Linked DNA regions of Coturnix japonica. The protein of the gene in region 4 interacts with the protein of the main gene of each other region in a biochemical or structural test. Links are inferred from orthologs where the notes say so. Each region holds a gene or a part of one and is shown on either strand. Other genes may lie near its edges.

Region 1 (4,974 bases), on a different chromosome or scaffold from region 4:
AGTCTCTGTTTATCCCATTGCTCAGCTTTTCTCCTTTTACCTTTTGGCTCTCAGTGACAAGAACAGTGTACTGTTCACTTATTGTCCTTCATAAAACAAAAGGCAATTTTTTCCTCTTGGGGGCTCAGCTTGGAACACAGATGGGTTGAGCTGCAGCCTTAACAAACCCAGGAGTATCACCCTGAGAAACATCATTGCAAGAGGGATTTTCATGTTCTAATTTAAAGGAGTTCTTATGTTTCTTCTCTTTCCTTTTTCTTTTCCATGTATTACTCCACTGCTGAAGGAAAAATGAAGTACTATAGTCTTGAAAGCAAACAGAATTGCATGAAAGATTATCACTCCAATTTCCTTCGAAAACTACACTAACTAGTTTTGTTTTGTTTTGCAAGCCTATCTGGTCAAAGAGCTTAGAAATACAATGAAAAGCTGCCTAGTCTTAAAAAGCCATTTTCTCTCTCTGGCATCTTCTTTAAAGGCAAGACCTCACACAAGATGTTAACAATGTCAGAATGTAAGTCCATTTCATTTAGGACAGTCCTTATGGCTTGCTGACAGTAAAGTCAAGGAGGGTTTTTATCTGGCTTCAGTACACTCACGTGGTTTTAAACTTGCTTATTGGTAACCTAAAAGATTCTTGCTCAAAAGAAGACAAGATAAATGCTGATGATATGCCCATAGCAGACCAAAATTAAATTAATCTTGTGCTTTTCCCTTTTTCTCTTTCCACCATTGATCTGGAGAGCTTGCAGAAAAGATAACCTCTGCTGTGAGTTTGTACACTGTCAGCACAGAGGGAAGGGTAAAGGTCCTTAATGGCAAACTTTGCATTGCAGCTTTGACACGAATAGTGCCAGCACCCGGGTGCCAAGTTCATTCATTACCTGGCTGCCTGATTGTGCAGGGTGACTTCTGACAGGAGTTCAGAGAATGCTCATGGCCTTAACTATGCTTGCAACACTGTGGCACCATGAAGCCTTATCCTAGTATTTTCACTAGTGGTGCTCATAGCATATAGCATCATAGGATCATAGCACTGAGGGAGGGAAATGGATCCTTAAAGGCCATCTAGTCCAACTGCCCTGCAACAAACAGGGACACCTACAACTCAGTCAGGTCCCTAAGAGCCTTGTCCAGCCTGACCTTCAATCTCCAGAGACAGGGCAGCCACCACACCTCTGAGCAGGATGTTCCAGTGCTTCACCATCCTTGTTCTGAAAAACATTTTCTTTATAATCAGTTTAAAATCTCCCCTCTTTTAGTTTGACATAAACATAAACATATATTTGTATTGTTTTTCAACTTAGGTTGTGGTCCTGAAAGTGTAGTTCTCTGGGTTCACAGCATCGATTCACCTCTACTTTTTGCTTCTCTGTAGCCTTTTTCACACACACTGAAGGCCACCTCCATTGATTGAACAAGGCATCTGGCTGCTGCTTGGCAGCTCAGGCACCTGGACTGGCAACTATTTCCTGCTACCAACAAGCAGCGCAGGATCTAAGGACAGGAGATACAGTCAGTGAGATTTATCGCTGATAACTGGGTACAGAATGAAGTGGTAAGCGCCATGAAGTGATACTAAAGATACATATCTAATGATTGCCATGCTTAAAATCGGGTCAGTTCCTTCGAAAACGTCCAACAGATTTGCCAGCGACCCGGGCTCAGTGCAACAGGTGCCAGCTGGACCGGGAGACGCTGCCGACGAAACTTCGGGAAGCGACCTCAGCCTCCCCCGCACTCCACGACCAAGCGGCACGGTCGGACCCAGGCTCGGAGCGGGGCGGGGGCCGCCGAAACCCCACCCCGCGGGGCAAGTCACCAGGGGGTGGGGAGATGGTGACAGCTCCAGGAAGCCACGCTCGGCAGCGGCAGACAGCGGGAAGCAGCTGGCCGCAGCAGCACTCCTACCAGCGCAGCCGTCCCCGCTATGGGCTCCCCGCAGCGCCCTCCGCTCGCCCATGTCTTCAGGGGCACCTTCGTGCACTCCCGGCCCGACGCGCCCATGGAGATCCTGCACGGCCGCCTGCTGGGGGTTGACGACGGCGGCACGGTGAGAGGCGCGGGGCCGCGGGGCGATGCGGGAACCTACGCCGTACGGAGGCGGTCAGGAAACGGGGACCTGTCCGATCGAAGCGGGTGGGGTGGGACCTCGGGGAAGAGATCGGAGTCTGGGGGCAGCCGGAGAGGACGGAGCAGCGTGTCCGCGGGGAGCTCCAGCCTGCTGTGGGGCGACGTATGTTCCCAGAGCACCTGGAGCGCGGCTGTGCTCGGCTGGTCTCCGTTTTCCTTCTGTCTTACAGGTGAATTTGTCATTCTCCGTGTCAGAACAGTAAGAATGGGTGTGGATAGTTGCCGAGTCCCCCCTGTACAGAGTGGTCTTTTTCTTCTTGTTACAAGAAAAAGCATGGAATGTGCCCTTAAAAAGTTTGGAGAACGGTACCGCTGGGCACGTTAATGGCACAAACTGAATCTAAAACGAATGTAAAACTGATAGCGCAGGGCCGGTCCTGGCAGGAAGCTCAGCCATGTCACTGGTTGAGACTCAGCTTCACGGTGCGTAGGCAGAGCAGCAATTTCGCCTAGACTTAGCAATGCATGTAGCAACCGTAGGTATAAGGAGAAAAGTCATTTTCTTTTCTTCTGATGACTGTACAATTGCATCAGGCTTTGGTAATGTTTGAAATACATTGAAAATACACAGTTAGTTCCTGCAGTTCACCATCCTTCACCATCCACACAGGTCCATGAAGATCTCCTTCAAGTCAGTTCTCCTACAGCTATTCTGAGTCTGGCACAGTGTATAGCAGAGTCCCTGAAAAGCTGGATAGGAGGTGAATAAAAAGATAGAAAGTTATGTATTGAGAGATGTCAACTAAAAGCAATAGAGCCGAATGAATAAACGTTTTGGTTTGTGTACCTTGGGTGCAGGAAGTGGAAACTTCTGTCTCTCATCTTCCTCTCTTAGTGCTAATTCTTGGTAAATGTCACTATGTTGTGTTCTAAGCAAATTATTGCTTTCCAAGGATTTTCTTGAAAAACACACACTGTATCTGTACCATGCTCTATCTATTGATTTCTGCCTCAGGAGAGTTGCTCTCCTCCTCTGGAGGTATTCAAGACCCACCTGGGTATCTACCTGTGTGGCTTGCTGTAGGAGGCTGCTTTGCAGGGGGGTCTGGACTCAATGATCTCTGGAGTTCCCTTCCAGCTCCTACAGTTCTGTGATTCTATGATTCTGTTTATCTCTCCCCCTTCTCTTGGTGAACAAGGATGCACTGGATGTGTTTGCCATGCATAAGTTGATGCATTTCCACGCTGTTTAAGAAAAAAATCTGGTAAAACACTATTGTCCAAAAGGAAAACTTTAACCAGAATAGATTGATAAGGACTTTCATAATCTTTTCTGTTTGGGAATTCGTGACATTTTACAATTCCAGGGTCTAGCACAGTGCGGTTTGTTACCATTTAGCCTGTTATCATAATTTTGCTACATGGAGAACTTCCCCTGTAATCACTGAATATGTGCTTCTATGAGAAGGACATGGTAGTTCAAAGATTTTTACCTCTATTGTCAAGATATACACCAATACAATTTTGCTATTGCTTCCAAAGAATTAAGCTTAACTAGGTTTAAATAAGCTTAACTTTTGCCTCACGTTGCTGATTCCATCATGCAAAGTTGATCTCAGGAGAGCTGAACGGCTTTTGTGGTTAGCCAGGTGCTGTTCTCACAGCCGCAGGAGTGCACAGCCAGGACACAGAGTGCTGCCTGGTCCCGTGCTGCATGCTGAAACACAGCTGTAGAGCCACAGATGGGGTGTCAGCTCTCTTTGCTTTGCCTTCAGATGAAAAGGGAGCTTTAATAAAGAAAGCACTGCCTTCAGGAATGCACACCCAAATTATCGTAAGTTAACAAAGTAAGTCTATGTTTAGAGTGGTTTGCAGAGCAGCACAATGCTCTTGAGGAGTTGCCAATAGAAAGGGTAACATTTGTCAAGGTAAGGAAAATAAAGCCAGCTGCAGACTGGGTTGTTGTTGAAATGCTGGTGTGAATAATATAGCTGAGTAAAATATTAAGAAAGTAGAACAAGTATCAAGATAAAAGCTTCCTTTGAATGACTAGGAGAAAATGTCATGGAGTAAGTGTTGATATTGTCAAGTAATGACAATTTGACTTATACCAGCTGTGATAGCAGGTGTCGTGTGTTAGCTGACAGGGGAGGAAGGTATCAAGTCAAAAACTGATATGTGGGGTTCATTGATTCATCCTTCTCAGCAGTTTGGGCTGTTGAGTTTTTGAGCAGTGTAGTTTGATAAGCAATGCTGTCTCTCATCTAACCCTGTATTTCAGTTTTGAGAATTAAATAAGCAATAGACATCATATCTGTAATGATCAAACTGTTGAAGATGGTAGCCTCATTAAACAGTGCTGACAGCAGCTCAGTGAGGCCAAGAATGGGACAGCGTAATGGTAGGAGGCAGGAAACAGCTGTGTTAGTGCCAGCAGCTGACCACTGTGGGCACAGAGTGAGATGTGAAGGATGTGGGAGGGAGAGAAGAAAGGACTTGTTGCTCATGTTCAACTCAATGTCATAATTGAAACAAATACAGATACTGCTGCTGGATCTAGAGGGAGGAAAAGATAAAAAAAAATAAAAATAAAAAATAGAAAAAAAAAGCATGTTTCATAGGGCAATCTAACTCACGTTCTATCTTCCTACTCACACTATAGTGCTTGGTGGCACTCAGGGTTTACTGTATCAGGGTTAATATATAATTAACTGGGCCATCTATGTGCTCATGTTGTCTGAGGCTTTGGACATCTCCTGAGATTAAGAAAAGGGGCTGATGATGACCACTCAGCTCATCATCTTCTGATCCTTTAGATGTATCACATGGATGGCACATAATAGTTGATTAGCCGCTGTTGGCAGCTGGTAGTAGCTGTTGATCTACCTGATTTTTGTGATA
Region 2 (5,019 bases), on a different chromosome or scaffold from region 4:
GGACATATGTGCTTAATTTTATATATGGTATATAAGCTACAGTTAGCTTTGTAAGATCTTGGCCTGTCTCCTCAGTCTCTAAATAAATGACAGTTTTTATAAATAAACCAGTTTCTAACCAGATGAGACTCTGTTACCCTCATAACTTTTACCAGTCAACACAGCAATGTGAATGACAGGCACAGGGACTTTGCTTTCTAAAAAAAAAAAGTGTCATAACAATAAACAAATATAGTTCCATGGGTGAACCATGTAAATATTTTCATGTAGTAACATGAAACACTTCATAAGGCATTTCTTAATAAGCCCAAACCATTTAGGCCTATGGTAGGCCAGTGAGTGTCGGGCAGCTGGTGGCTCAATGTTCTCTCAGTGTAAATAGATGATCAATCATCCTCTCTTGTTATTGTTTTAAAGAATAGTTTGAGACTCGGTTCACAGTGAGTGTTCGTACTGCCTGTTCTTTTTGCTCTCCTAGCAATACAAGTTTTAAAATTAAGAAAAAAAAAAGCATTGTTTTTCACCTGGCTGCTAGAGCCTACTTGTTTGGCTCTCTGCTCATGTCTGGGGTGGAGGGACAGCACAGGCACAGGCCCACAACAAAAGGAAGAAATAATGCACAGGCAGGAAGCAAAGGGCTTATCAGCCTATTTAGCAAAGACACAAAGAAAAAGGAAGAAAATGCATTCCTGTGCATTATGCTGTAGAACTGCACAAATATAAGTTTGAATTTCACCATGCTCCTATCCTGCTCACTCAAAGAAAGCTAACTAACTCAAGAGCCTATTTGTAAGCCTGATACAGGGCAAAAATGTTAAGCAGCGTATCTGCGTTGCTCGTGTATCAGGACATACAATTCACCTACAAAATACAAGGTGAAGGCTGTTTATGCTGCTGTGATTTGGCCTGGATGTGTTTCTGGCAGGACCAAGAGGATCCCCTGCTGTAGGAAACCTGCTTTAGTAAGGACTTGAACCAAGTGATCTCCAGAAGTCCCTTTCAACTCCTATGGTTCTGTGATTCTGTGACTCCAGATGTCTTTTGAGACAGAGGTCAGTCACAGGCTGCTCACTGTGCCAGCCAGGAAGATGGATGTTTGCCCTGTTGCCGGTCAGTGCCCATCCTTAATACACAACACAGGGGTCCAGCGGGCCCTTCCCCATCATGGAGGGTAGCACGGAATGGTGCGGTCACTCAGGGAGGTTCACCGGAGCAAAGAGAACTGTCCGCTTTCCACAGTTTCTGCTTTTGGAGGAGCACTCCCAGCTGCAGCCTTCTTGGCAGGTGCTTTCCCTCATCTGCCGGGGAGCCTTATCCTGTTCCTCAGGTCCGATCGTCCTTGTGGATGCCCCGTCCTTGGAGGTGTTCAAGACCAGGTTGGACGGGGCCCTGGGCAACCTGATCTAGTGAATGTGTATGTTTGGTGGCCCTGCCAGGCAGGGGGGTTGGAACTACATGATCCTTGAGGTCCCTTCCAACCCGGGTCATTCTGTAATTCTGTCCTTTCTCTATCAAGGGTCCCGAGGGAAGCGAAGGGACTGTGAGCGCTGAGTTCCGCGGCGACTGGCACCGAGGCCCCGGGGCCCGGCCCTCAACGCCTCCTCCAGCAGCAGCCAGCGGGCGGCGCTCGCCCGGGCCGCGGCCGCCTGCGCCCTCCGCTCCCCCACGGGAACAGCGCGAAGAGAAACTCCCTCTTCCCCACCCTCCGCCTTGCGGACCCCCTTTGCCCCTCGCCGTTCTCCTCGTGAGCCGTGACACAGAGGCGGCGGGGGCCCGAGCTGACGGCGACCCTCCGGCCACGCAGCCCAGAGTTACCCGAGGAGGGGGCCGGGCAAGCGGGGAGCGGGGGGGGCGGAGGAGGAGGAGAAGCAGGAGGAGGAGGAGGAGGAGGGCTGCGCGAGGCTGAACGGCGCTCCTGCGAGATGCTGCAAGCCCAGCTCCCCGCCGGAGGGGGGTAGCAGGCTCTGCCGCCGCCGGCTGCTGCCTGTGTGAGGGCTGTTGCCGCCGCTGGACGCAACCTTCTGCCGACATGGAGCTGCCGCCGCCGCTGCTGCTGGAGTGAGCGAGTGAGCGACGGGCGGAGCAGCCGGCCGCATGGATGGATGTGTTTAGCTTTGTGAAGCTTGGGAAGCTCTCCGGGTAGGTGTCCGTACCGGGGCTCGGAAGGGCGGGGGACCGCCGGTGAGGGGAGCCCAACTTCCCTGGCAGCGGGGAGAGGGGGCGGCTCGGGCGGGGCGGCTGCCGGGACCGCTCCGTGCGGGACGGGTCAGCGCCCTCCTCGCCTGGGAGCGCCGCCGTGAAGGGGCGGCCAGAAGTGTTGGCAGCGCGGAGTGCGGCGGTGGGAGCCGGGCAGGGGGCGAGCCCGGGGGGAAAGGGGCAGCGCCTGGCCGAGGGGTGGGCAGGGAGGGACGGGGCGCGCCGTGCCGTGCCGTGTTGTGCCGTGGCCCCCTAGTTCGCCTGGCTACAACTCTGCGCTGAGCGCTGCTCGCCGGCTCGTCCACGGCGATATTTTTAGAGAAGCGGTGAAATCATCGGCAGCTGATGAGCGCTGCCCCTCTTTTTCGCACGGTGTTATGCTGGGGTGGTGTTATGCGAGTGATCCCTTGCGCGCAGGGCATGTGCTTCGTGCCGGTGCTCGGTGGGAGCATACGTGTTCTTTCCAATGGATAGATGTTCATTGAGCGGCCTCGGAGTTGCGGTCTGTGTGTTCACTGTTGCGCTGGCAGCGAGTTGCCAGGCCCCAGGCTGCGCAGACGGGTGAAGGAGCGCAGCCCCGATACCCCATTCCCCTCTAGTTAGGGGCATTGGAAGTAGCCCTCCTCAGTAATGGGAAACCACGCTTCACCTGGGAGACGCAGTATAGAAGTGCTCGAGCTGTGGGGATTTTTTCAGGGTTTTGGTGTGGATAATCTTCCTAAAGGATTTAGCTTTGATCGCGGTAACCGGGAGTGCTCTGAATTCTTATGATTTTGTGTTGGTACACCATAGTTACCACGGCCCTTGCTGTTTGAGAGGCACAGAATGAAAGCGGGTGTTACGCAAAAGGAAGGGCCTTGCTGAGGGAAGGCAAGGCTGCCTCTTGCTCCGGTGCCGCTCAGGTGGGAGAGTGTCATAGTGATGGATGGTCCTTAAAACAAATATTGTGTGGCTGGAAGTCACCGAATGCCACAGGTACAAACAGAGCTGCTATTCCCCAATTCCCTCCGCTGCACCTGGCTGTGATTACAGCTCTGTTCTTGGCCCTGCCAGGGCAGAGCAGCTGTTCTCATTCAAGCACATCATCGTCTCGCCCTGCTCTGAGCGATCTGACATGAGGTGCAGGCTGGAACACTGGTATCCTGCATGACGTTCCCTGTTTGTGCTCCCAGCCAGAGCTGTAACTACAGTGCAAACTTGAAGGAAGGAAAAATACGTGAGAACAGACAAGGAGCAGGACATGTAGTGGGGTATTTATTATTAGGTAATTGAATTGCTTGAGCTCTCGTATTTGTTTGCAAGCATTATTTTAGGGAAGCTCACAGATCTTCATGTTTCATAGCTGTCATGCTTGAGTTAAGTCAAAGGGAAAGAAAGGGATATGCTGCTCAGAGCTGTTACTAAGCCAGGTACCTGGCAGTTTTTGTACATGTGGTAGTACTTGGTATTTGTTGGTGTACAAAGGCTGTAGCTTGCTGCACGCCTGACAGCATGAACTCTGCCAACACTGAGGTTTGCGTTTAAGTAATTACAGGAAGATCACGGCATTTCTCCAGAAGGACCTGAAGGTTCTTCTGAAATGAAACCACAGGTCTCAAAGCTTGTGTCCAGCTTCATTGGAATTGAGCATATGAAGCACTCAGATCAAGTTTGCTTGTGGATCGCAGTAAATCATTTCTGTACCAAGCTGCTCTTTTTGTTTCTAATTTTCTGGTTGTTAAACAACCTAATAGTTTACACAGGACTTTACTTTACTTGCAGTTTCCTAGGTAACAGCTAGTTATCTGTTCCAGTTTCACAAGAGCTTTGTAGAGCAGGTGGACTTCAATGTAAACCCCATTTGTAATCCCTTGGTGCGTCTGCATTGAAAGCAGCAGCTCTCCCTCAGCTGTTGGAGAAAAGGCCTTTCTGGAAGAAAGCTCTCATACAACAAACAGTATTTAACTGAAAGGGTGATCTTCAGACAGAGTACCTATGGAAAGTTGTTTCAGACTTGGCTTGTACTGAATGTTTTCATGGCTTTCAGTCTTCTTTCTGTTTTGCTGTGCATTCAGATCTTCTCATTTGAGGTTGCAAGTCAACTCTTAGTGTTGAAACCAGTGGCCTTGATTCTGCATGCAGTGGCACAGGCAAGTCTGTTACGCATGGCTGCTGCAAGGGGTTGCTTCTTAATGCTGTAGTGTAATTGTAATACACATGGCGTAATCTTCAGTGGGCAGTAGCTTATATGTGTATGCCTTTAGGAGGAGGGGGTTTTCCTTGTTATCTCCTTGCCTTTATGGGTCTGTCACGTTGTATACCATGCATCTAATAAAGATGTTCATGGTGAAGTCTCTATTGATTTGTAAAGATTGGAGATGTCCATTGTGACACTGAAAACAAAAGTATTGTTTAGAAATACTGATGGCACTTTTGTTGGCATACCTTCTTTCCCTTCCCCTTTGCAGAAATTTGACTTAAAGAACGGCTTAGGTTGGAAGAGGTCATTGAGCTCCATCCACCTTGATGTGGACAGGAAGCTTGGCCTTGAAAACTCTTGCCCAGAGTTCTCCACTGATTTGGTAATAACTGTTTTGGTACAAATCTTGTAGGGCCTTTCTCTGGAAAGAGTTGTAAAAACCTGCTGTTCTAATGAACGTCCACATATAGAAAATGATTGCCAAGTCTTAATGGATCTCGTGCAGCTGGATGAGGCAGGTGAATGTTTTTGTAGTGTGGGCTACATAAGTATGTCCGGTGCGGTAGCATCTGTAATTCAGAAAGGAGGATTAGTAGGATAGATAAAGTGCACACAAAAATTGCTGGATTAGGTTGGATCAGGAG
Region 3 (5,049 bases), on a different chromosome or scaffold from region 4:
ATAGTTTTAGCAGAAGAATAATGCCCCGAGTACCTTTCAGATCACAAATGTCTGTTCCAAGTTCTCCAACCAGATGGAAAAATCATTTGACAAGTCCATGGCTTGCTGCCTACTGCGCTGGGGGGGGATGGATGTGGCTGAGGCCACAGCAGAATGCAAAAATCAGGAGGTTCTGAAAGACAGGGAGATTTTCCAACCTAGAAACAAGGACTCAGCAGAGGAGAAAAAGGTCCCTGGGGTAGGAGACAGAGCTTTGGAGGACTGGGAAGAAATGAAAGAGTTGGTCTGGTGCAGCTGAATGCTTACCAGTGATTATAAGTCAGTGTAGAAGAAATACTGAGGGGGAGGCAAGAAAATTTGCTAAGCTGTTTAGGCTTGGACAACTAAAGAAACTTCACAGTTTTGTTATGTTAAATCTGTACTAGAATAGAATAAGCACCACTAATTCCTTTCGCTTTGGCATGGTATATCAGTGCTAAGTCTGACTGCTCTGGCATACTCTAATGCATCTCCTGGTGCATTGCATGTGCTCACTCTTCCTCCCTTCCCACTGGTATATTTCAAAATAGAAGTACGGTTTCTTTCTAAAGTCTTCAAACCTTTGCTTTGCATATGGTTATGTTTAACCCTTTGGCAGGCTGCTCTGTTCAGCTTAAAGTCGGGGTATCGACTTCTGAATCAAGTTGCAGATCCCACTTCAAAAGTTTGGGTTTGTATTTTAGTACTCCTGAAGAATCCATTTCTGATTCCTGACTAAAAAACAGCCAATACCTGGCACGTATGTGGGGTTTTTAATGGGTTTCAAAGCATTTTGTCTAACAGCTGCACAGAAGTTGAGACCAACCTGCACCTGGAATAAAGATGATAAACTGCAAAAGGTGGTTCCAGCACAGTATTCTGGGGTGCCAGCATTGTTAAAGGGAGATTTCTTGGCCAAAATTTTCTGGTCCAAAGGCATTCCAAAGGAGATCATTCCAGTTTTTAAGTGAAGATAAACCATTACCTCTCTGTCTCTTCGGGGACCCTTTGGGGTTGCTACTCCAGGACAGACTCTTCCTCCCTATTAACAGCCACTTTTCACAGAGGGAAAGGGCTGAAAATGGAGGAAAAAATGAGATTTCACCCAAGGAGGACACACTTTCCCATTCAAGCACCTTGCTCAAAACACCACTTAAGTTGAATTGGGGCTGGTGGGAGCTCACAGGTGCATAATAGCTTTCCCAAGGCAGAATCTATGGGGGTTTGTAGCCAAGACATCTGCTTTTTTCCATCACCATCACAATTTAAGACCCCATTTAAAACAGTTTACACATCAGCTTCACGCTGGGACACTGCAGGCTTCACCATAAGGCCGCAGATCTCACTCTTGCTGGGGTACATCCCACATTTAAACCACTTCTGTGTCCATTTTGAGGCAGTCTGGGGTATATTTTTAACACACAAGCCTATTTCTGAGGCGTATTTTTAATATTCCAGCCCACTTCTTAGAGGTGCATTTTCAAGCTTCAAGAGGGACACGTGTTTTTCCTCTATTCATCAGGTGATTTCAGGCTTTGGGGGTTGACATTGCTACCCTCCTCGAGGCCGTGAGGCGTTGGGGTTGACATTGCTACCCTCCTCGAGGCCTTGAGGTGTTGGATATGAGTTTTCTGAGGAGAAAAGATGAGAATTGAGGAAGATGAAGGGGTTGGAGGAAAAATGGCTTCCGTGCCTCAGTTTCCCCCATTCCTAGGTCCTCCAAGCCTGCAGTTACAGCAGCAGGACACAAGGGGGCGCTGTGGTCAACGGCGGCGACACTCCTCCCCCCCTCGCTCGTCTCCTAGCAACTCACCCCACCCTCCTCTCTGATTGGCTGCCTCCCCTCACCGCCGCCATTTTCAAACCGCCGGTTCGCCGCCTCAGTTGTTTTTCGCCGCCGCCATTTTGTGCGGTGCCGTCCGGTTTCCCCCCCCGTTCCTCAGCCTGATTCTTCACCATGGAAGCCGAGCCCGTGGCTCAGAAGCCCCCTCGGCGGAAAAGAGGGAGGGTTAGTGCTGGAACAAGCGCCAGCCGCTCGCCCCCGGCGGACAGCAGCCGGTAGGAGCCGCCGTGTCTCCCCGTCTTTCTGTCAGGGGCTGAGGCCTGTGGTTCTCCCTTTATGTGTGTATATAGTGAGGAGGGGATCTATTCCCGTCTTCCTGGCATATAAAGGGGACGTTTCCCCTTTTTTCCTCAGCCTTTATGGTGCTTTAAACATCCTTAAAGGGGCCCTTCACCCTTGTGTCTAATGGGGGGAGCTCCCTTGTGTCTAATGGGGGGAGCTCCCTTGTGTCTAATGGGGGGAGTTCCCTTCTGTCTAATGGGGCAGTTCCCTTGAGTCTAATGGGGGGAGCTCCCTTGTGTCTAATGGGGGGGGAGCTCCCTTGTGTCTAAGGGGGGCAGCTCCCTTGTGTCTAATGGGGGCAGCTCCCTTGTGTCTAATGGGGGCAGCTCCCTTGTGTCTGACGGGGGGCAGCTCCCTTGTGTCTGACGGGGGGCAGCTCCCTTGTGTCTGATGGGGGCAGCTCCCTTGTGTCTGATGGGGGCAGCTCCCTTGTGTCTGATGGGGGCAGCTCCCTTGTGTCTGATGGGGGCAGCTCCCTTGTGTCTGACGGGGGGCAGCTCCCTTGTGTCTGACGGGGGGGCATAGCTCCTGTGTCTGCGACGGGGGGCAAGCTTCCTCGGGGGGCAGCTCCCCTTGTGTCTGACCGGGGGGCAGCTCCCTTGTGTCCTGACGGGGCGCCTCGGGCAGCTCCCTTGTGTCTGACGGGGGGCAGCTCCCTTGTGGTCTGACGGGGGGCAGCTCCTCTGTGTCTGGACGGGGCGGCAGCTCCCTTGTGTCCTGACGGGGGGCCAGCTCCCTTCGCTGTCTGACGGGGGGCAGCTCCTTTGTCCTGACCGGGGGGCAAGCTCCCTTGGTGTCTGACGGGGCGGCAGCTCGCCTTGTGTCTGAACGGGGCGGCAGCTTCCTTCGTGTCTGACGGGGGGCAGCTCCCTTGTGTCTGACGGGGGGCAGCTCCCTTGTGTCTGACGGGGGCAGCTCCCTTGTGTCTGACGGGGGCAGCTCCCTTGTGTCTGACGGGGGCAGCTCCCTTGTGTCGACTGGGGGGCAGCTCCCTTGTGTCGACTGGGGGGCAGCTCCCTTGTGTCGACTGGGGGGCAGCTCCCTTGTGTCTAATGGGGGGCAGCTCCCTTGTGTCTAATGGGGGGCAGCTCCCTTGTGTCTGACGGGGGCAGCTCCCTTGTGTCTAATGGCTTTACGGGACCCCTCACACCATATAAAGTGGGTGCGTTGCTCTATGCTTCCCTGCTTTATAAGGTGGATGTGTCTGTGGTTCCTGAGTGTCTTTAATGCTCATAGGGTGCCCCAGTGTTATATTGTATGCTATGTGTATGGGAGGGGGGTGTTTCTCAGGCTATCACATGTTTTCCTGCCTGTTTCTGTCCCGTAATAGGGATATTTGGTCCCATTTCAGGTCTCCAACTGGTTTCTGTGCAAGTGTGAGATGCTTGCAGTCCCTATTTGGCTCGGAGAAGAAATAGAGGGTCTTTGCTCCTCAGGGTGGTTGTTGGTGCAATGTGGGGATTGATTTCTCTTTTCACACTGTTTCCCTGTACCTCTTTGTCACCCATTTTAGGTTCTGTATTCTACAAGGTTCTGGCTGGGTGTAATGTGTGGTTAAATAGAGTTTGGGGCTGCTCTGTGGGTTGAATTGGGCTGGGCTTAATCTCCCTCTGCCATCACCAGCTCAGCCAAGCTTCCAGGATCTCCTCCAGTCATAACACTAGATCAACTCTGTTAAGTATGGAAGAGATCCAGTGTCAGCCTTGGCTTTTACTCTCGTTTTTAAATCCCTCTGTATACCATCTATTATTTTGATGTGCTTGGACTTGTGAGACCTTTCTTGAGACAGCCCTGTGAAACAAGACGTTATGTCTTAAGTTAACCCGTGGATGATCTTATCTGTGTTGACCCCTGATACATGGATGTGTTTATTGGCACTAGTTGACCCGAGTGACTCAACTCCCGTTGACTTTTATCAGGACAAACCCTGTTTGATCGGCTCAGGTTTGTATTTATTATTGCCCTCAGGGTCAGGAAATGACTCCTCCAACTTTGCAGGTGCTGTAAAAAGCAGATTTGGGTTCAAATAGATACAGGTTCAGGGTCTATGGACCTGTGATCTGGATCTTTTCCTCACTGCTCTGGTTCTTTGTGGACAGGACTGCAGTGAATGGTGGTGTTACAATGTTGGTTTTGATAATGGCTTTTTGTAACTGTTGAGTGTTTCATAAGGTGGGATGTTTCAATGAGCCTTAAAATACATATTTACATAGAAACATGCTGCAATATTGTCTTGATGATCAAACTGGAGCTTGTTGGTCTCCAGTCCCAGCCCTTAAAACTACAGACTTAGCTCAAATTGCTCAGAGCATTGGCCAGGTGAGATCAGAATCATCCAAAGACAAATCTCATTGCCTCTATATTTGAAGGTTTGACCACATGTATTGCGCAAAAGCATTTTTCTTTATATCTAATGGGATTTTTCCTTGCTGTGCCTCTTTCCATTCTGCTGTGTGCATACAATATATTTGGTTTCTTGCTTTCTCTACTTCTTTTCAGATAGCTAGAGCCATCTTTGCAGTCTCTCCCCATACAGAGGGAGCCCATTCTGTTTTTCTTCATTTATTTAGTGTTTCAGCCCTAGCACCTTTTACCATTGGCTGGATGTGTTCTAGTTTCTGATGTTCCTTATACTGAAAAGCCCAAAGCTGGCCCTGTTCCCTGTATGGATTCTCTCATACTGTCATCTCTTAACTTGTCTGCTGTGGTTTTGCTACCCTATAAATGGAGAGAATCATAGAATCACAAGGTTGGAAAGGACCTACAGGATCATCTAGTCCAACCATCCTCCTATCACCATCACTCTAAGCTACTAAACCTTATCTCATAGCTCCTCATCCAGCCACCTTGCTGCAGAACACAAGTAACATCATTTAAATTAAGATGCTTAATCCCTTCAGCTGTGG
Region 4 (4,299 bases):
AAGGAGCTGGGCAGGAGTTGGGTGTGGAGGGTCATCCAGCCCCATGACATCCTGCACATGGAGGTGCAAGACAAAACAGGTCTTCAGCAATGATCACGATGTTCAGATGAGGACAACTGGTGGATAGGGTTCACCTCCATGGCCAACCTGCCATGTCCCAGCTTGGAGAGAAGCAGCTCCAAGCCTGCAGCTTCCAGCACTGATTGTTCCCATGGTCCAGGAGAGCTGCCCCGTGGACAGAAGAGCCCCAAGCATGGCCAACCACTGCACATCATCATCCCAAAGGTCTTTCCTCCAGACCCCTGCTCTGCACCCTTTCAGGTTGGGAGGGAATAGCTGTGGGTATACTGATCTGGCTGAAAGGTGCCCATCACCCTGACCTGACCCCATACAAGGAGAAGGCTAAAAAGAAAAGGAACGCTTCAGAAAAGAATGACAGGAATGATTTCAGGGCTGGAACAACACCGAGTGAGTGAGGAAGCCAATCTGTTTAGTTTAGCTAAGGGAAAGTTAAAAGGGAACTCAGACGCATCTATAAATACCATCATGTTGGGAACTGTTCTGATGGCTGCGGCCCTTTATCCTGGCAAACAAAGGCAGCAAAACCTCCTGGGGCTGGGAGCTAAAGCAAGAGGAATCCAGGCTATCAGTAAAGTGCACGTTTTTAATGGAAAGGATAAATAACCATCAGGAGAGCCGGACTATCACAGAGCAGATTCCCCACCGTGTGAAACCTCAAAGTAGAGGGGAGGTGTCTGCATCTCAGCCAGGTGTGTGGGGCTGAATGCTGTGCTTGTAGGTTCTTGCCCCTGAGAGCCCCACATCCACGAGTGCAGCCCAGGGATGCCAGAGTGGAACACAAGGGGGAAGGGCTCCATCCAAAATCCCAGTGGATGAAGTAATAAAAGCAGGTGGATTCCCAGCACACACAAAGTTTTCACTGCTGAAATGACCACCACCAGGGCTGGGCTGATTGCAAACTGCACCTCTTGTCTCCATTTAACCACAGTCCCCCCCCTGTTCCATGGTAAGGATTTGGTGAGTGTTTGAAGACGCAGAGAGAGCAGGGAGAGGAAAAGGAGAAATTCAACAGTAAGGAAAAAAATGGGGCATCACCCATTTTATTGGAGTCTAAAGCGAGAAGGGAAACACTTAAAATGGGGAGAAAAGCAGCAGCGTGATCTTCACGTTTAAAATACTTTGGAAGAAGAATCCAACCTAGCAAACGAGGACTGATTAAAGCTGTGCCAAGGAAAACAAAGCCTTCATGTTATTTTACGTCTGGTGAGCTCCATCCATCACAGCCACTCCATCCCTCCCTAAAGGCTCAGAGTGTGTTTTGCCCTTCACTCGTCCCTACAACCAACATCAGGTACGGAGCCCACGCGATGCGCTCACACCAGGAGGGAGCTGAGATTTACGACCCACATCCAGATAGATGGCAAACAGCAGAGAAAAGCTCCTGGTATGCTGAGGAATGGACCTGCCATTGAGGAGCTCGGAGAGAGAAAAAGGTGGAAATCTGCGAGGTGGGAGTGAGATGGAGATATGGGGCTGGGAGGATTTCCATCCTGTACCACATCCATCTGCCCTCCCAATGCTGACGCTGGACCACATGAGTGCTAACGCACAGGGGATGCTGTTGGTGTTACTGCCACGTTTCCCAGCCTGAGCATCACCAACGGGAAGAGCCCGAGGAAACACCAGCCCCAGGCACTTCCCCAGCACCATCCCACAGTGCTACGGGCACGCAGCCCCGGTGCTGTCCACGCGGTGGCAGCCGGCGGCCGGGTGGGACGCGGTGCGGGGGCTCACCTGCGGCAGGGCACTGCGGGAGCCCAGCACCAGGCTGCAGATGCTGGTTGGTACCTCCGTCCGCCGTGCTGTCACCCTCACCAGCCTTGGGGGCGTTGCCGGCGTCACCGCGAGCAGCCTTTGCTCATCATCCTGGGCTGGTGGCTGCAATGAGACCCAGGACACAGAAGTGGGTAGGGAGAGCTGCGAGCCCCTGGGATGCCATTCAGGACAGGGGGATCCCACTGCTGGCCTGGGAACAGGTGATCTTTTAGGTCCCTTCCAACTCAACCCGTTCCATTCTATGTTCCAGCAATATGAGATGTCTCCACGCATCTCTTTAGAGAAAGGAGTGGTGTGATGGTGTCTGCGTGCTCGGGCAGGTGGACCCCACTGCTGAAAATGAGTCTCTTGCAGCCCCAGAAAACTAAATAGGATCCCGGTGCCTGTTGCTTCAGAAACAGGTTGTAAGCCCACTTGAAAACGGATCCATTGCCATAGACCAGATCGAGAGCTGTGAGGTAAGGACTGGAGCAGCCCTGGAAAGTCAAAACTGCCCCCACTCCATCAAGGCAATTCAATTAGCTTTTGTGCCTAGGAGATAACTCAGATCCTACTGTTCAGTCACTGCCTCTCTGTCTGGTGCTGTATCTCTTAAAAGACTGTTGGAAATTAAAGAGAATGCAAATAAGAGACGTGGAAGTTATCAGAGAGCTGGAAAAAATCCTGAGAAAGGAAACTTGAAAGGCCCAACTCCAGTTATCAAAAGCAGCTTGTGAGGTGGCTCGATCAGAGTCCCAGTACATCCACAGCAGAAAGCAGAGCTAGAGCTGAACTCATTTGCATTAGGAATAATTCAATTAGCGCTCATGAATGAGAGACGTTTCCTAATTATCGAGGGAATCTCTGACAGAGGAGGTGTGGAAACACACTGCTGGCATGGCAGCTGGTGCCAACCTGTCCCCACTGCAGGAAACGGAGCGGCTCTTACCTCGGGGGGGCTGTGGGTCTCTCTGGGGCTGCGGTGCCTGGCTGGGCTACGATGCACTGCTGGGCTGGAAGGCTGCAGGGAAGCCGAGCGCAGCGTGAAGTCATAGAATTCATGGATATCTACAAAACAGCACCAGAAACATCATCAGGAGTGGGCAGGGAGTGTAGTGCCAATGTCCTGCATCGGGTGCAGGGTCTGCAGGTCCCTCCTCCCAGCCCTGCCAGGAGCATTTTCTCCTCTCCATCCCACCCACGGGGCACTACAGGAAGCAGTGGGGCTGCTGCACTTCCTAATGGAAACACGCAGCAACCCCAGCCCAGTGCTGCAGGAGCAACAAATCTCACATCACCACATTTCAGTGTTCAGTTTCATAAGGGGAGCTACAGAAAAAGCAAGGAGCTCTTCAGAAAGAAACTGGAAGGGGTGACAAAGAGGGTGGGAAGCAGCAAAGCCTATTTAGAGGCTCCGCATCATGACATCAGAGCACACATGCAGCGTTGGCTTGTGGATGGTACACAGCAAAAAGGAGAAAAGCACTGCGGGAAAGGGGGCTTTGGAAGGGAGAAGGCATGCCCCTAAATAGCTGAAACAGTGTCCAAATGAGAAAACCAGATAGGATGGTAAACGCTGCCAGGTTAAATGTACCACTCCAAGAGGTTGGCTGAGGGGGTTTGGTGAACGCCTTGCATGCAGCATGGCAAAGTCATAAATCCTGACAGCACACAGAAGACTGGAAGCAGTCAGGGCTGCGGGGCCAGAAAGGGGCTGGGCGGAAAGAAGCACTCAGAAGGAGGAAAACCACAGCAGGGAAAACAAATTCATTTTCTGTGTGCGCTGCAGAGGAGCCTGGGGAGCCCCAGGTTACTGGGCATTGTGGGGATGGGTTGGAGTAGGTGAGCTTTGTGGTCTTTTCCAACCTTACTGGTTCTGTGATACTGTGATTCTGCAGCAACCCCCAAAGGGAACCAAAGGCTTCAGGAGGGTTTGTCAAACTACATCTTTAGCAGATTTTCCAGAACCTGGTGCTTAGCAAAGGGTGCCCTGCAGGAAACCCAAAGGCCATGGGAAGAGAAGGGAGGGATGCACCAGCCCCAGGTGCACCTCTGGTGGCAAAAGCTGCTCCTGAAGCCATCACTGATCAGCCCTGAGGTCATGGCCAGTGTTTGGCTCACAGCCGGACAGACAGACTTTGTTTTTGTGCAAAAACATCTCTCCTTCTGCTTATGAAAATAGTCGTTGCGTAACAGGATACCAGGGGCTCCTGGCTGCGTGGATTAGGCTTGGAATGCACAGGAGTTCCCAAAAATGAACACAGGATTTGGATGGTTTTGTCGCAGTGGAACACTACTGCTGGTGTCCCTGTCTGAGGCAGGAATGTCACCATGGGCAGTGGGGAGCCTTGGGGATGGGGTCCTGGGGAGTCCCATGTTCTGTTTACAGGCTGGTGCCCATTTGATGTCTGCGTAAGTCCACTTTGAATCCAATAAGGAAGAAAACTCCAGACTGACACAGAA

The links.
Region 1: the proteins of DLG3 (region 4) and GDA form a complex in vitro, tested with the Homo sapiens proteins (2 studies listed by BioGRID and IntAct, with this or other methods). The link is inferred for Coturnix japonica from reciprocal best matches to the Homo sapiens genes DLG3 and GDA.
Region 2: the proteins of DLG3 (region 4) and FRMPD4 interact in a test that uses a peptide from one of them, tested with the Homo sapiens proteins (2 studies listed by IntAct, with this or other methods). The link is inferred for Coturnix japonica from reciprocal best matches to the Homo sapiens genes DLG3 and FRMPD4.
Region 3: the proteins of DLG3 (region 4) and NET1 interact in a test that uses a peptide from one of them, tested with the Homo sapiens proteins (2 studies listed by IntAct, with this or other methods). The link is inferred for Coturnix japonica from reciprocal best matches to the Homo sapiens genes DLG3 and NET1.

What each region holds. Positions count from the first base shown.
Region 1 is NC_029547.1:32,037,701-32,042,674, forward strand, and holds the start of GDA (guanine deaminase), read left to right. Parts: upstream 1-1,833; 5' UTR 1,834-1,930; coding exon 1,931-2,053; intron 2,054-2,204; exon of another isoform or gene 2,205-2,303; intron 2,304-4,974. UniProt on the Homo sapiens protein: Catalyzes the hydrolytic deamination of guanine, producing xanthine and ammonia.
Region 2 is NC_029516.1:111,558,964-111,563,982, reverse strand, and holds the start of FRMPD4 (FERM and PDZ domain-containing protein 4), read left to right. Parts: upstream 1-1,878; 5' UTR 1,879-2,098; coding exon 2,099-2,139; intron 2,140-5,019. UniProt on the Homo sapiens protein: Positive regulator of dendritic spine morphogenesis and density. Required for the maintenance of excitatory synaptic transmission. Binds phosphatidylinositol 4,5-bisphosphate.
Region 3 is NC_029516.1:1,179,955-1,185,003, reverse strand, and holds the start of NET1 (neuroepithelial cell-transforming gene 1 protein), read left to right. Parts: upstream 1-1,908; 5' UTR 1,909-1,975; coding exon 1,976-2,076; intron 2,077-5,049. UniProt on the Homo sapiens protein: Acts as a guanine nucleotide exchange factor (GEF) for RhoA GTPase. May be involved in activation of the SAPK/JNK pathway Stimulates genotoxic stress-induced RHOB activity in breast cancer cells leading to their cell death.
Region 4 is NC_029519.1:2,473,715-2,478,013, forward strand, and holds part of DLG3 (disks large homolog 3), read right to left. Parts: intron 2,905-4,299; coding exon 2,786-2,904; intron 1,960-2,785; coding exon 1,816-1,959; intron 1-1,815. UniProt on the Homo sapiens protein: Required for learning most likely through its role in synaptic plasticity following NMDA receptor signaling.